4 linked regions of the Rattus norvegicus genome follow. The protein of the gene in region 3 purifies or fractionates together with the protein of the main gene of each other region. This does not show direct contact. Links are inferred from orthologs where the notes say so. Each region holds a gene or a part of one and is shown on either strand. Other genes may lie near its edges.

Evidence for each region. The genes of interacting proteins can lie anywhere in the genome.
Region 1: the proteins of Prpf8 (region 3) and Dhx15 fractionate together in Homo sapiens (co-fractionation; 3 studies listed by BioGRID, with this or other methods). This does not show direct contact. The link is inferred for Rattus norvegicus from reciprocal best matches to the Homo sapiens genes PRPF8 and DHX15.
Region 2: the proteins of Prpf8 (region 3) and Eapp purify together in Homo sapiens (affinity purification with mass spectrometry; 4 studies listed by BioGRID and IntAct, counting the BioPlex papers as one, with this or other methods). This does not show direct contact. The link is inferred for Rattus norvegicus from reciprocal best matches to the Homo sapiens genes PRPF8 and EAPP.
Region 4: the proteins of Prpf8 (region 3) and Sf3a2 purify together in Homo sapiens (affinity purification with mass spectrometry; 3 studies listed by BioGRID and IntAct, with this or other methods). This does not show direct contact. The link is inferred for Rattus norvegicus from reciprocal best matches to the Homo sapiens genes PRPF8 and SF3A2.

The regions. Positions count from the first base shown.
Region 1 is NC_086032.1:62,998,669-63,002,703, forward strand, and holds the start of Dhx15 (ATP-dependent RNA helicase DHX15), read left to right. Parts: upstream 1-1,229; 5' UTR 1,230-1,397; coding exon 1,398-1,468; intron 1,469-4,035.
Region 2 is NC_086024.1:77,926,109-77,930,319, reverse strand, and holds the start of Eapp (E2F-associated phosphoprotein), read left to right. Parts: upstream 1-1,405; 5' UTR 1,406-1,485; coding exon 1,486-1,559; intron 1,560-4,211. UniProt on the Homo sapiens protein: May play an important role in the fine-tuning of both major E2F1 activities, the regulation of the cell-cycle and the induction of apoptosis. Promotes S-phase entry, and inhibits p14(ARP) expression.
Region 3 is NC_086028.1:60,836,268-60,839,778, reverse strand, and holds part of Prpf8 (pre-mRNA-processing-splicing factor 8), read right to left. Parts: intron 3,427-3,511; coding exon 3,220-3,426; intron 3,102-3,219; coding exon 2,938-3,101; intron 2,796-2,937; coding exon 2,669-2,795; intron 2,559-2,668; coding exon 2,366-2,558; intron 1,887-2,365; coding exon 1,699-1,886; intron 1,525-1,698; coding exon 1,286-1,524; intron 1,085-1,285; coding exon 938-1,084; intron 759-937; coding exon 548-758; intron 1-547. UniProt on the Homo sapiens protein: Plays a role in pre-mRNA splicing as core component of precatalytic, catalytic and postcatalytic spliceosomal complexes, both of the predominant U2-type spliceosome and the minor U12-type spliceosome.
Region 4 is NC_086025.1:9,563,394-9,567,565, forward strand, and holds the start of Sf3a2 (splicing factor 3A subunit 2), read right to left. Parts: upstream 2,807-4,172; 5' UTR 2,768-2,806; intron 373-2,767; 5' UTR 337-372; coding exon 211-336; intron 102-210; coding exon 30-101; intron 1-29. Other genes in the region: Plekhj1 (pleckstrin homology domain-containing family J member 1), read left to right, coding at 2,903-3,081, 3,195-3,444, 3,685-3,751. UniProt on the Homo sapiens protein: Component of the 17S U2 SnRNP complex of the spliceosome, a large ribonucleoprotein complex that removes introns from transcribed pre-mRNAs.

The DNA of each region.
Region 1 (4,035 bases), on a different chromosome or scaffold from region 3:
AAGGTTGTATTGGGTATTGTGAAAGTAACAAAAAGATATTCATTTGAATTTGTACTGATGGATGATACAAAAATAGAAGCTGTCATCTGCCATGTTTCTGTTGTATTTAATCTTTTGAGAATTTTTGAGGGACTAGAGCCAAGGAGCAGTCAAGGAGAATCTTGACATGAAGTGATACTCTGTGTTTGGGCTGATCATTAGAATTCTTTCCCCCCACACTTCTGGAAATAAATGCAATTGAGCAAGCACATAGGCTGAAGGGAGAAAGATACACAACCTCTTAAGTGTCACCTTCCCTCAACAACTTGCCATTACAGTGGAGTTTTAATGGATGCGCTATTTGTTGATTTCCTTCAGTCTAGGTGATTATGTCTATAAAATGTCTTTCAGGGTTCACTCTACTAAGGAGCACAGCAACTAGGCATGCTAGGGCATGTCTTTAATCCCAGCACTGGGAGGCAGAGACAGCACCTGATCTCTGAATTCCAGGCTAGCCTCTTCTACAGAGCATGTTTGAGGACAGCCAGAACTACACAGAGAAACCCTGTCTTAGAAAACCAAACCAAACCAAACCAAACCAAACCAAACCAAACCAAACGAGGACAGAGATAGGGTTAACATCTCCAAGTGCCTAATATGTACTCATATATACACAAACGGAGAGAGACTAGGGCAGAGGATTGGAGAAAAAATAAGGTGTCCAGTACGAATTCCTCCAATTTTCTGAACCCTATCCAAAACACCTATAGATTGAATAAATACTGTTCTGGGGTAAGTGGACAAAACGAGTCACAGTAAATTAACATGTTTCTCACCGCGGCTGGGAATCTGGCGCAACAACTGCAAATTCCTGTTCTGGAGTTATAAAATAATTGTGCCCTGCTCTGCCACTTACCAGCTGTGTGATCTTGTTTCCTTAAGCCTTCCTGAGCTTCAGACCCTAAAAACAAAAGTAAATACACAGCTGGATAGATTTCCTAATTAGAACTAGGCTTTTCCAACTTTCCGAACGAACTCCAGGCAGCAAGTGACAGCTTGAGGCTCATCTTCGTCCTTCGCAATCGCTCAGAGCGGCTCACAGCTAGGAGGAGAGGGGAGGAGCCCGCGGGGCGCAGAGCCATTCAGCCAATGGCACATCGGGCGGGACGGGAGTTCCCGCCTCCGGGCGGCGTGCGCGCGCACCACGCCGGCACGCCCGCCGCGGCGGCGCGCGCGCAGGCCCTGCCCTCGTCGTGGCCGCCATTTTAGCTCCTGGTTCGGGCCGCACGGAGCGGTCTGTGGTGGCGGGAGGGGTGGGGGTCCCTGCGAGTTGAGCAGCGGGCCTCTTCTGTGTGGATCCGGCTGCTGGAGTCTCTCTTCTTCCTTCCTTCCTAAGCGTCCGCTCTGGGAGTGCGAAGATGTCCAAGAGGCATCGGTTGGACCTGGGGGAGGATTACCCCTCCGGCAAGAAGCGTGCGGGGACCGATGGGTAAGACAGACCGGGTGCGCAGTCGCGGCTCGGGCTTTGTTGGCTTGTGGCGGGGAGCAGGCCCGGCAGCCGAGTCTTTGTCTGCCATCGGCCGGCTGGGGCGCGGGCCGAGTGTGTGCGGTCAGGGTGAGAGGCCTGTGGTGGCCACGAGGCCGCGGGCGGCGGGCGTGAGGAGCGGGCCGCGAGGCCTCGGTGCTCGCGTGAGGCCCGCAGCCGGGGAGAGTGTCCGGAATGGGGTGGCCAAGGGCACTGCCCCTTGAGCGGCCCCGGGCGGCGGCGGGAGCTGTCTACTTGGGGATAAAGACCAGCCGACCTCGGGGCGCACTGTTTGGCGGGAGACGGACGGCCTCCTTCCATTGAGGCACTTCAGAAGAGGCCGTTGCCAACTTCCGCCCTCTGCTTGCCCTCCCGCCATCTCCTTTATTTCCTGCTTTGCTTAAAAACCGGCCTTGCTAAGCATCAGTGGGGTAGGCCTGTGAAAATACGTAATCTCCCTCCGCTCTGTAAGTTATTTCTATCTCCTCCCGACTTTGGACGCACTTTTCAAAAAGTGATCTTAAGCGTGTTTGAACAAACAACACCCACGTGCAGATTGAGGAATGCTTACACCGATTCTTGGTCTGGCAGTTTGGTTCCTTTTCCTAGACTTTTGCAAAGACGGGGCATTTAGCATGTAAGCAGTTGTATTATCATTTTCCAGCTTTTCTGTGACAGTTCATACTTAAAATGTACTTTAGCTTATATTCCTACCCTTCCATTTTAATTAACTGTATGTTTATACTTTGGCAGTACAGAGATCTGTTTGGTTAGTTAAAAAAATATAACACAGAAGTCCGAATGTCCAAAACTGTTGTATGCTTTTATCATTTTCTTACGTCCTGTGACACTAGCTGTCAAGTCAGATGTGTGGTCTCTTGAGATTTTAAGTCTTTTGGGCTTGCTTTCTAACTACCAATGGGAGGTATAGGTCAGGATAGGATGTGTTCTGATGCTCTCCTTAGATTGAAATATTGAATATGGAAAGTAGGTTTGTTATGTTTTGATTCTGTAGTTTTTTTTTTAAAGCTTGTAATACTAAGCATTGTAATAATACAACATCCCAAGACAGCTAGCTATTCCCGCAAGCAAAAATTCCAAGCGTTCATATTTGAGCTCAGTCAGTTCTTAGGTAGAAATACAGCTCATGATTATTCTCCAAGGGAGAGCAACATTACAGTGATCTTTTCCATACTTTACAGTGGCATCTAGAAATCTCCTTTTCTCAACATGAAACATAAAACTGTAGTTAAACATTACCACCTGTCATAATGCCATTCTTATTGGATTGATAAAGTGTAGTGATTGTCACATTTGGCTAAGATGCAACTAATTTCCCACTTAGAGGTCACTCTGAGATAGTTCTTTTCAGTGTTTTTGTGTGTGTGTGTTCACTACTCAGTGCATTTATTTCGATTAGTGGCTCCACATTGATCACAGTGATCATGGTGATTTCTCTTGCTAATGTATAACATTGGTAAAATGGACTTTGGGTGTATCATGGTAGCTTCATGTTTTCTCTGAGTATTTAATATTTGTCAGTAAGTACAGGAGAGTTCAGTTGAAGAGTAATTCCTTAATTTCTAGAGATTCTGGAGGGCAGTTGTTGCTGTTTCGTAAGTGTTTTGAGTACTTTTTCTTATAGAACTGATTTTCTTTAGCAATGAGTTTATACAGTATTTGTGCTTGGTATCTATTGATTTTCTCTTCCTCACTTAGTTTGAAGGCACTTTTGACTGCCAGGGATTCTGTCCCTCCTCTCCTCCCTCCCTCCCTCTTTTCCTTCCTTTTTGCTCTTGTTTAGTGTATTTGACAGCATAGGCTTGTTCATTTTGTCACCCCAGCTGTCACCAGACCCTGTTGTCTCCATTCCAGCACACTTTTGTGTGTTTGGGTGTATGACCACTGCTTGTGGCAAGCAGAAGAAAACATGGAATTAGATACTTCCTCTTGACCATGCTGGCCCCAGGGGTCAACTCAGTTTTTCACTCTGAACCATCTCACCAGCTCTGGAAAATCTGAGGACATTTTTATTCTAATGGTTCTTAGTATTCCTGATCGAAACTCAATAATTATGATTCTTTGTAGGTAGAAGTGTGTTTCACTACAATCCTGTGGTAGCTGAAATTAAATAAGATGCAGTGAGCAAGAAATTTTCACACTTTAAGGTATAAAGAAAAGAGCAGTAAGTTACTCCAAATCATTATTTCCATCTTTGGAGACCATACTTATTCTTAAATACAAAATGTAATATCTGAGCTCTTGGAATTTGGGGCCTATTTGTGCAGTACTCCAGTTATAAGGCATATCTCTTGTCTTGCTCATTGATATTAAGTGCTTTCTTGGGTTTTTTTTCTATAGATATGTATACATATTAATGCCCATGCTTAGTAGTGTTTATATAAAATATCTGAAGTAGATGACTAGTTTCCATCCTTTTTAGCGCAGTATATTAGTGCCCGTTATTATTCCAAGTACAATTTAAATGGAACATCAGTAGTAACCAGTATTTGCCTGGTGCATTTCAGATA
Region 2 (4,211 bases), on a different chromosome or scaffold from region 3:
TGAAGAAAAGGTAGTGGAGCCCAGGCGGTAGGTAGCACCACCCACAATGAGCTCTTGCCACCTTTTGGTTTTGTTTCACTTAAGACTACATAGACCTCAACAACGCTGATAGTACAATTGTCATTGTGTATAATAACTTTTCAAATAGCATTTTAGCTTGCTTGGCAACAGATGTTGCATGTTCATACATCCAAAGACACATAGATAAAAACCACTGTAAGTTCATAGCTACTACACACATCATGTATAGAGCAGCTAACTATCTTTATAACATGAAGCCAGGGGAGAGCGCGAACGCAGTCCCCCACTACCACAAATTATGCAGTCGAGTTTCCCGCATTTGGGGAAATCGCAGGGGTCAGCACATCCGGAGTGCAATGGATAAGCCTCGCCCTGGGAAAACCACCTTCGTGATCATGGTATCTCCCCTGCCAGGTAAGTATGAGTTGCCTCCCCCTCAAGCAGGTTCCCCATCATTATACACTTACTTATAGTTACGGTGTTTTCTTCAATGTTCCTTCTCTACATCACATTCTTTTCTAATATTGCACCCTAAAAGCACACTTTACACAATGTAGATATTATCCACTAACGGCGTGAGCAATCTATGTTGGGGGAACCGGTAGCCTTTGCATGTACAATCATCTACATACTCCACGCCCCTGTGGTGACGTCACGTAGGCCCCCTCAGCGCAACTCCGTCCACTAAGGTTGTGGGGCCGGGAGCGGAGGGGCTTGTTGATCCTGGGCGATCAAGTGTGAAAATCAAAACCTAAGCTTCGAAGCCCTGGGCCGCCCAGGGTACATTCTACAGGCTCTCGGCAACGAGGAAATTTTAGCTCATTCAGTTTCTGCTAGTGGAGGGAATTCATCCTCATAGGACACAATTCCAAGAGATTCACTCTTGTTAAGTTTAACTAGTAAAAGAGGATCGGATTTCCGTGTTTTTTGTTTTTTGTTTTTCTGAGTAGGACTATCATACATTTGCACACAGCCAGTAAAACTAATAATAAATCAAGGGAGAAAGGCTAAGGTAACAACTTTGATGGAATAAATCAGACAGGCTAGTGACATACAACTGTAATCTCAGCTCTCCGCAAGCAAGTCACGGTAGGCAGAGGGAAGTCAGCCTGGGCTACATAACTAGTTGCAGGTTAGACTGGGCCAGTAAGACCGTCTCAAAACCGAAATAAAGCTTTAAAAAAAAGGAGGAGAAAGAAGAGACGAGTAAGAAGAAGAAAAAGAAGAAAAAGAAAAGAAAAACACAAAGACAACTGCTGTTTTCAGCGGAAAAGAAAACGCAGAGACGTGGTAACATTGACCCTCCGCACGCCCCGTCGCTGACATCCTTTTCCGTGGGACGGCTTGCGCAGGCGCACAGGAAGGACTCGCAATATGGGCGGAAGTGGAGTGTCCCGGAGGCTTTAGGGAAGGTGCTTGAGGAGTACACAGACACCGGGACCGTGTAGGCATCCTTAGGCCGCCATGAACCGGCTCCAGGATGACTATGACCCCTACGCGGTGGAAGAGCCGAGCGACGAGGAGCCGGCTCTGAGCAGGTGGGCCGCTGCCCCGCGTATCCGCAGGGCCTTGGCTGAGGCCGTTGTGCTTGTCGCGTCTGCGGTCCCTGGGCGCACGGTCGCCCGCTTCACTTGAAGGGGCTTCAGGGTGCCTGATGGGGCTGCTCAGTCTCTGGGGAGCCAGGATGGACAGCAGTTCAGGAAGAGGGATGTTCCGGAATAACGTGGGCCCCCAAGCGTAAATCCTTAGATGGAACCCTGTTTACTGTTTACTAGCACTGCGACTGAAGGCAAATCAGTTATCCTCGGCTTCGCATCTATAAATGGAAATAAATACAAGTATGGGACAGTATCTTAAGCTAGTGAGGCCACAAGCCTTAGCATGAAGTACTTATCTTAAAGACTGTCAAATAGAAATAAGGAAATAGTGAATGGACATTTTTTTTGTTATGATAGACATAAATACAAAATTCTTGTCTTCCATAGGTTTTCCTTATACTAGGGGAACTGAAGTGCCTATTTTTTGTAGAAGATGCCCTGTGATAGGCACTGAAGAAGTTGTGTGATAATTCTGGAAAGGTTGTATTTTTCCTACTTGAGGAATTTGCCTTGTTTATACATATGTGTAAAGCACATACCTTTTCTCCCCTTGCTGGGTATTAAACCCACGGTATTATTTTTTTCCCACGGTATTATTTTTATCTATATATATTTCATTTTTAAAATTTATTTTTATGGAGGCTGGAGAGATGGCTCGTGGTTAAGAGCACTGACTGCTCTTCCAGAGGTCCTGAGTTCAATTCCCAGCAACATGGTGGCTTTCAACTATCAGTAATGAGATCTGATGCCCTCTTCTGGTGTGTCTGAAGACAGCTACAGTGTACTTATTATATATAAATCTTAAAAAAAAAGAAAAAAGATCTTGGATCCCCTGGAACAGGTGTTACAGTTATGAGTTGCCACGTGGGTGCTGGGAACTGAAGCTGGGTCCTCTGGGAGAACAGCCAGTGCTCTTAACTGTCATCTCTATAGCCCCATATATTTCACTTTTTAATTTTAGTTTTTTGAGACAGTCTTGAGTTCTGCCTGGCCTGAAAGTTGCTCTGTAGACCAGGGTGGCCTTGAACTCAGTGATCCGCTTGCCTCTGCTTCTACGTGCTAGGCTAAAGGTGTGCGCCCCCACACTTGACTTGTTTTTTTCCTATATTAACTAGGTTCTAGAACAGTGGTTTTTAATCTTACTAATGCTGCAACACTTTAATACAGTTTCCTCATGTTGTGGTGACCTCTGACAAGAAAATTATTTTCATTGAGACTTCAAACTGTAATCTTGCTACTGTTATGAACCTTAATGTAAATATTGGGGTCATGACCTTCATTTTAAGAGCCACTGTAGAAGACTGTAGTTCAAGGCCTGGGCAAATGGCTTAGCTTGTAAAAGCACTTGCTGTGAAAACCTGAAGACCTGAGTTCTATCCCCTGAACTCGTGTAAAAAGCTGAATGTGTTAGTAGTATGAGTCTTTAATCCTGGCACTCCTATGGTGAGGTGAGAGGTGGAGGCAGGACATGCCATCTAAGTTTGAGAACCAACTAGCTTGCAGTATTCTGCAAGAAACAAGAAAGACCCTTTCTCAACAAGGCAGAAGGCAGGCTGGAGAGATGACTCAGTGGTTAGGAGCACTGACTGCTCCTCCAGAGGTCCTGAGTTCAAATCCCAGCAACCACATGGTGGCCCACAACCATCTGTAATGAGATCTGATGCTCTCTTCTGGTGTGTCTGAAGACAGCTACAGTGTACTCATATACACTAAATAATATTAAAAAAAAACCCAAAACAAACAAAACAAAACAAAACAAAAAACCAAAAAACAAGGCAGAAGGCAAGAACAGTTTCTCAAAGTTGTTTTCTGACTTCCAAATGCACTGCGCATACCTAAATACAGACACTATGTGAATACTAAAACAGTGAAGACAACATTGTATCATTGCAAGGATGCCTTTTAACTGCCTGTGAGTATACTGGCCTCCTTTCCTCTGTCCTTGGTGCTCACTGTGTATCTCAGGCTGGCCTCACACTGCCTGTGCTGTGCCACCACGCTGCCTTTTTTCCCTTCTGCCGTTTGAGTATTGAGACCACAGGTGTGCGCCAACACACCTCACACCCTCTTGCTGCTTGTGAGTAGTCACTGTCAGTTCCTTTCTGTCTTACTGAACCTCCTGGGTGCCACTCAGATGTTCTCCACTTGTACAGTGTTGTCATTTCTCGGGTGTCGTGAAAGTGGAGTTATGCACTATGCAACCTTCGGAATTTGGCTTTTTTCCCTGGAGATTTGCCTGTGGTAGTGTGTTGTGTGGATCTTACAGTTTTCCCCCATCCCTACCCTCCTTTGTTGTGCTAAGAATTGTAAGGATCAGGTCCAGGGCTTTGTACCTGCTAGGCAACTGTTCTGTCCAGAGTTACATCCCGGAGTACTGAGATGTAGTTCTTCTCCCTTTCCTTTTTCCTTTTTTGGTTTTTGAAGACAAGACCTCTCTGCAGCCTTGATTGTCCTGGAACTCATTCTGTAGACCAAGTTGGCCTTGAACTCAATAGATCAGTCTGCCTCTGCTTCCAGAGTGCTGGGATAAAGGCATGTGCTACCTCCTTACTGTTACTACTAATACAGGCTCTCATGTATTCTGGGCTGGTG
Region 3 (3,511 bases):
GAGATGGCTCAGAGCAGGCGAAGGTGCTTGTTACCAAGTCTTAGTTCCTTACTTCAATCCCCAGAACCCACATAGTAGAACAGACTACAAGCTGCCCTCTGGCCTCCACACAAATGCCATGGCATAAATGAACATGAAAAATCAGACATGGCAGAGTGTGCATTTAATCTCAGTACTCGGGAAGCAGCAGAGGTGGGGGTAGACCTTGGTAAATTCAAAGCTAAGCTGACTAGCCAGAGCTACACAGTGAGACCCGGCCTCAAAAAAAGGAAAAATAAAGGAGTAGGCCATGATGGTACACGCCTTTAATCCTCACACTTCTTGGAAGACAGAGGCAGGCTGATCGCTGAGACAATCAGGGCCAGGCTGGTCTACAAAGTGAACTCCAGACCAGCCAGGCTTACAGAGAAACAATGTTTAATCAAGCAAAGATTAACTGCGACTACACCCAACTCACTAGGATGATAATGAAAAGCTATGGCCATTCTTCACCCCACTGAGTCCAGAGTTCCAGGGGTGGTGAAGTGATGCCCTTCCTAGAATATACCTCATTCTGTAGATTCCAGACCCCGTCCTTGTGGGTGAACTCTTCATAGCTGGTACGGCACTTAGGTAGGATGCGGCACTCAAAGCCACACATGTTGAACAGCAGGTTGGGGTTGTCTTTACTGTACACAGACACAAAGCTATTCTCCCACTGTACTGTAGTCACCGATCGTGGCAGCCGGTTTTTGATGTCCCAGAACACTGCCCGACCCCTATCCACAGAGAACAGAGGCATTTCAGTCTGTTGAAGACACTTGCATCCAAAGACCAGGTAGATGATACCCCAACAGGTTTATATTCCTCCTACCAAGACACAACCTCAATCCTCCCTAATTTCTGGGTCCCTAGGACTAACATCCTTGTAATTCCCACAAACCCAACTGAAACTCACAAGTTGACATCATGCTTCATGAGACGCATACGGGCATCTCGGGGCCAGCATTTCTTATTATTGTAGCCAACAATGTTTTCATTATTGGGGTCTGGATGTTCTGTCAGGTAACGCTGGATCAGATCCCGAGCCTCATCTGCTGTGAACCTACATTAAGACAAGATATATAGTTGAAGTCCAAATATACTAGGACCCTTCGAGAACGCCAGCTCCACAGTGAGGACTCTATGCAACTGAAGGCTTCGTTTCACTTTATAGCCCAAAAGCAGTCAACTAAGCTATAAGAGCCACATTACAGGCAGAACATAGCTCCCTCCCCTGTTGGTTAAAGGAGCTATGCATCATTACCTGAAGAAAATATGGATGCGATCAATGTATCTACAGAAGAGTCGGATTGGGTGTGCAGCCTCGGTGGCTATGTCCTGAAAACTGAGAAAGTCATTTGGCATCTGCGGAGGCCCAGCCATCTCACTGGCCCGGTGCAATCCCAATACAAGCAAATCCATCACCAAACCATAGTACTGTACAATGAATGAGGCAAACTGCAGGCCTCTGATGATTCCATATGAATTTGTATGGTTCATGTCCTAGAAATGAAAAAGGAAAAAAAAAAAAAAAACACAACTCTTAGCTATGGCTATGGTTGGCTGTGTTCCAAGCACTTCAGGGTTCAATCTTCTCCATTCTCCCTTAGCAAATCCTAACTCAATGGGCCAGATGATCCCTTAACACATCTCTTTGCTCCTGGCTCCAGGACAGACCTTATAGTTGATGACTACATTGTTCTTGGCTGTCATGTAGTCAGCTATGTTGTGGTCCACAATGAGTCGCAGCAGCCTGTTGAGCAGGGTCAGGTCAATCTTCTCATACATCTTCTCAAACCGAGACTCCAGCATGACATTGCACTCACCCTCACTCGTCTCCCACACATCCTGCAGGTTATTGATGCCTAAAAAAGCAAAATGTCGGAGCTATGGCATATTACTAACACCTTTTCAGGACTAGTAACCTCAGCAGCTCTCTACACATTCCAAAACTCTCTACCGTCCGTCCATCCATCCATCCATCCACCCACCCACCCACCCACCCACCCACCCATCCATCCATCCTGGTTGCTCTAAGTGTAAGCTTTGCTCAACATCAGTGGTATTCACGCTTCCTTTTTCTTTTGGTTTAGTAGACAGGGTCTCTCTGTGTAGACATGGATGCCCTGGAACTTGCTCTGTAGACCAGGGGGTCCTCAAACCCAGAGATCTGCTGCTGCTGCCTCTGCCTCCTGAACTCGGGATTAAAGGCACATGGGACTACCACCTGGCAGTACTAGTCACTCTTATGTAATAAAATGGACCATGCAGCCTAGGCCTGAATTTTCATACAGAACTCAATTCACCTCCTTTCTCTGCAGAGGGTAACTCCAGAAATTTTTACCTTGGCACCACTTGTAAACAAGCAGTGGAGGGGGTTCTGTGTCAGCAGGCTTGATCCAGGGCGGGAAAAGACGGCGTTTATCTGCTTCATACCACAGGTACTGGTCCAGGTAAGCATCAGTTATTTTCTCCAGTGGTTCCACATCATACACTGGCACAAGGTGGCTATAGAGATCCATAAACTCAATGCCCACCTAGAGGAGGAAGAGCCTGGCTCACATCAACTCATCCAAGCCAATGCGGCACTCACTGCCAAGAATAAGTAGCACAGGCCAAAAGAAAACTTAGGGAGTATTTCACTCACTTCCTTAAAGGCTCTCTGCGTGAGGAGGTGACGCTTGATGCGGGACAAAGCCTCATGGGGGTTGTCATAGGCTTGTTCAATCAGACCCAGCTCCTCCCTCTGAGACTGGTTTAACCTAGACTTCACACTAACAAAGCAAAAAGAAAGGTGTATGAGAAAACCCAAGAAGATGCTAAACCAGAAGGAAATATACCTTCCTGTGAACTCGGACCATGATGCCACTCTCTCTCTGCTATCCTCCCAACAGGAACCCTCCAGCCACTCCTTACCTATAAGCTTCCTTGAGTCGCTCCAGAGCCAAGATAAGCAACTTGGTGTCATGCTTGTAGGAGAGTGGGGGGAACGGGATAGGAGAGAACCTACGGCTTTCCAGCCAGTGCACAGTGGTAGTATACACTGCCACTGCTTCCTCTGCTGTGATGTAAGGCCCGTCCTGGAAGGTGAACATCACGTTATCCCCCACTATTGTCCAAACTCAGGCAAAGCATCATCTTCACTCTGCAGCCCACCTTGCCACCCAGCCCCCACACACCCAGTCTAGCTGGCCCAACCTTCAGGTAATTGTGCTGCCGCTCCTGTTCTGCCTTCAGATACAGGCGGGTGAGGCGGCCCAGGTTCTTTTTGCAAACAGTCTTGTCTACAGTAGCCCCACGGCGAATCCGTTCACGGTTGTAGTGGGCAGTATTGGTCCACCAATCAGCCTTGGCCTTAACGTACCGAAGAATCATATTCTCTATAGGCGTTGGCAGTCCTGGGACCTGCAGGTACAAACACGATGAAAAAAGGTAGTAAGAACCAAGCACAGTGCTCCACACCTGCACCCGGCATAAAGCCGGAGGCGGA
Region 4 (4,172 bases), on a different chromosome or scaffold from region 3:
AGAATGGTGGAAGTCTGGTGGGCAGGTACCTCATTGTTATGCAGAGTCAAGCAGAGTTTGCACTCATAGGATCCCAGGTGGTTCTTCATGAAATACGGGTCCTGGGAGTGAAGAAATGTACCGTGAGACCGCACAGCCTGGCCCCGGGACCCAAGGACCAAGGTGGGCAAGGTGAGGGCTCTGCAGGCCTGGAGACTCTCCCTCCCCCACCTTATTGATGTCGATGGTTTCCAGGGCCAGTTGCCGCAGGCGCTCTCTTCGATCCCGGTTGCTCTCTGAGGAGGAGGCCACGCCCCCACTCCCAGTTTTGCCTCCAGGTCGGTGCTGAAAGTCCATGATGCAGGCCTGGGTACTTTAGGGGACAGGAGAAACCTGGGGAGCAAGGAAGACTAAGGCTTAGAACCCTGCTGATGATGCTAGGACCGCGGGATGGCCCAGCATGCAAGCCATCCCTTCTCTGACCTCCTGATCCTCCCAAGTGCTGTGACTACCATTGAGCCGCCTCTCCCTGATGTAACATATGATTACTATTATTGTTGTTGTTATTATTGAGGGAGGAGTCTCTACGTAGTCATGGCTATCTTAGAACTCTCCTCACACATTAGGCTGGCCTCTGCCTACCTCTGCTGGCATTAGAGGACACACCCTCCTCTGCCTGACACAAGGAATGCTCGATACCAAGGGTCTCACCTTGGAGGCTCAGCCAAAGCCTCCAGACAGTGTTACCTGAGGCAGAACACTTAAGACTACTCAGTCTACTGGTAAACCTACAGTAAACCCAGGGCCAGCGACCAGGAGACAAGTAGAGACAGCTCTTGTCATCATCACTGGTGCCTCCCATAGCACAAGGGGCTCTACAAATGTGACCAAGAACCTTGAGGGCAGGTACCCAGTTACTACAATGTCACTAGAGTGTGCTCAAGGCTGACAGGCCACTGACAGCACTGGCTGTCAAGGAGGAAGAGGCCAGAAGGCAAAGGATACAGGATGCTCTAGGTGCTGAGAGGGACGGCTTGAGAGGTGTACACTGAAGTGGCGGGACAGGAGCAGCCTATTAGATGTTTTGTACTCAGCCAAAGACTGAGAAGGGCATCGTCTACATCATCCAGAGCTACCAACAGACACACTCCCAGAGATGAAGCTGGCCAGACACGAGAGTACAGCCAAACGGTGGGAGAATCAATTGGCTTCTCAGAGTTAGGGGCACCCACAAGCAGCAGCAGCAGGATGGAAAACCACTCCAGGCTCAGGCAAAGACAACTCTTGAGAACATAGGACTCTGTGGCTGGCCTCCCCAGGGAGGCTGGGTGTCCATCCACAGACTTGACGGTGCCACTCAAGGAGAACACTTGTCCAGCATGCACTGGGTCCCCTGGGGGGGCATGCTTGAGGTTGAGTGCATGGATATCCACTGCAGAAATGTAGTTCATCAGCTTTGGAAGGAAAGCAGAATAAAACTGGCCTGGGTGAGCATACTGCTTGGCCCAGTGGATGGAGCACAAAGTTTTGCAAACGCTCACCAATGAACTACCGCCTCAGCCCACCAACAGTTCCCAACCTCAGGAAACAGAAAACATGGGGCATGGCAGTGTATACATTTCCTTCCAGCTCCCTTAGAGGCCAAGGTAGAAAGATGATGGGTATAATTTGAGACCAAACTGGGCTGTGCAGTGAGATCTGTCTCAAATAAAAGACAAAAGGGTGCTGGGTAGGCTGGCAAGATGACTTAGTGGCAGATCACAACCACCAGAAACTCCAGCTCCAGGGAACCTGACAGTCTCTCCTGGACTTGACGTTATCATACTCACACATGAAGCTCCACATGGACACACATTTGGAAAAAAAATCTTTAAAAACACGGGAAAGGGATTCCAATACCAGCTTTTATCTGCTTCCTGACTATGGCTGTAACACGACCACCATAGTGGACTGCACCTTCATACTATCAGTCAAAATAAACCTTCCTTAAAACAAAACAGTCAAGTGTAGTGGCACACGCTGTAAATCTCAGTATGCGGGAGGCAGAGGTATGGGAGTGTATGTGAGCTCGAAATCGGCCTAGTCCACACAGGGTTCCAGGTCAGCCTCAGTTATGCCGTGAGACGCTGTCTGAAATAAAGTAAAATTGTGCCGATGACTGGATGGACTCACAAGTGAAGCCTGGGACAAGAGACCAGGATGAATGGTTGGGAGCCGTGCGACCTCACGGACTACTCTAAGATTACCGATGAACGATCAATAGAAACAGAAGAGTAGTATATGTTAAGGTCACGGTCTGGGAGAAGGCCTGCCTGGTCTAAAGGCAAATCACTTTTTTTTTCTTTTTTCTATTTTTCGGAGCTGGGGACCGAACTCAGGGCCTTGCGCTTGCTAGGCAAGCGCTCTACCACTGAGCTAAATCCCCAACCCCGCAAATCACTTTTAAATGCATATACCGTTATCTTTTAATCCGAGCAACAGACCTACTACAGTGGACAGGAGCAGTAGTCGCCATGGCCCTGACTAACGGCGAGGGAAACTGAGGCAAACAAGCAGGTTAAATGACATTCCAAGAACCCGAACCACCCTAGAGGCCACGGAACCGCCACAAAAGTCCGCGATCACGCCACGACTCAAAGGACCTCGCGAGACCGCGCTCTTAGGGCGAGGGTGCGCCACGCCTAAGGGGAAAGGGCGGCCGCTGCCCCGCCAGGCCCCACGCTCTCGCTCCTACTTTCAAGACCCACAGACGGGGCAGCCGCCACCGACAAACCGCGTAGTTCCTTACCAACACCAAGGCCTCGGTAACTGGGCTTAACCTCCCCGAATGCCGCGATTTTGTTGTGCGCATGCGCACGACCGCTTGAGCAATCACTTCCGGGGGCAAGGAAGGCGGAGTTTCATGTGTGCGCATGCCCAGCGAATGGACTCCCCCTACGGGAGGCGGGAGAAAAAAAAAAGAGCGCCGGGACACGGAGTACGCGTGCGCACTGCATTGTCTACGAATTCTTGCTCCGCCCTAACTCTGTTGGCGCTGACTATCGCGACAGGACTTAAACCTCAGGGTTCACAGGCCCGGGAACGAGCTTCGCGTATCGTGAGGTGCTATGAGTCTAAATTTACACCCCACGTTCAGTGTGTCTGACGGTTATTTAAGGACGGGCGATTTCCTTCCCGTCCGACTCCTTGTTCTACTGTGCTGACCCACCAACTAGCGTCACGCAACACGCCCAACAACGCGCAGGCGCAGTAGCACCGTTGGGACTTACGAGGTCGCTTCCTGAGACTTTTGTGGCGCTAGTAGCGGCTTCGGGCAGGACGGCGGCCGAGAGGCAGGGCGCGTTTTGGTTCGCGCGGATCCGGGCGGCGAGATGCGGTACAACGAGAAAGAGTTGCAAGCGCTGTCCCGGCAGCCGGCAGAGATGGCGGCCGAGCTGGGCATGCGGGGCCCCAAGAAGGGCAGCGGTGAGCTGGTCCGGGCCGGGGCTGGGACACTTGGGCGGGCCGCGGGGTTCCCCGGTGGGCGGATGACAGCAGTTGCGCGCTGACACCGCCCTCTGCCTGCAGTGGCCAAGAGGCGGCTGGTGAAGCTGGTGGTCAACTTCCTCTTTTACTTCCGCCCGGACGAGGCCGAGGTAGGGGTGTGGGGGGCGCGGGGGACCCGCGCGGCCCAGAGGCCGGTGCTCATGGCCGTGTCTCGCGCAGCCCCTCGGAGCCCTGTTGCTGGAGCGCTGCAGAGTGGCCCAGGAAGAGCCGGGAGGCTTCTCCATCAGTAAGTGTTCTGTTCCCCACTTTCCACCCCGGACTCTGCTCCGCGCACGCGATCCTTTTTACTCCCTTAGGAATCTCCATTTGTCCTGGATCTCGCGTCCGCTGGTGGCCCATGACTGTCCCAGCTGTCACTCAGAGTGACCACTGGGTCAGGTTCTCATCTTAGTTTCTTCCCCGATCCTCTGCCGGTTTACGGCCGAGAGAGGTGCAGTCTGTGAACTTGGTGTGTATAACTGAAGCAGTCTCTGCCGTGGGAGTGAGTGTGCGGGCAGGGCTTTGAGGCCTTGAAGGACACCTGTCTCAGCCTTCACCTCTGGAGAGGTCTTTCTGCTGCGTACCTTGTAGAGATTTGTCCATCGTGTCTACCTCTGTCATCCAGTGGGGTTCTCCATCTGTACCCCTATTTTCTGCTTCTTGTACAT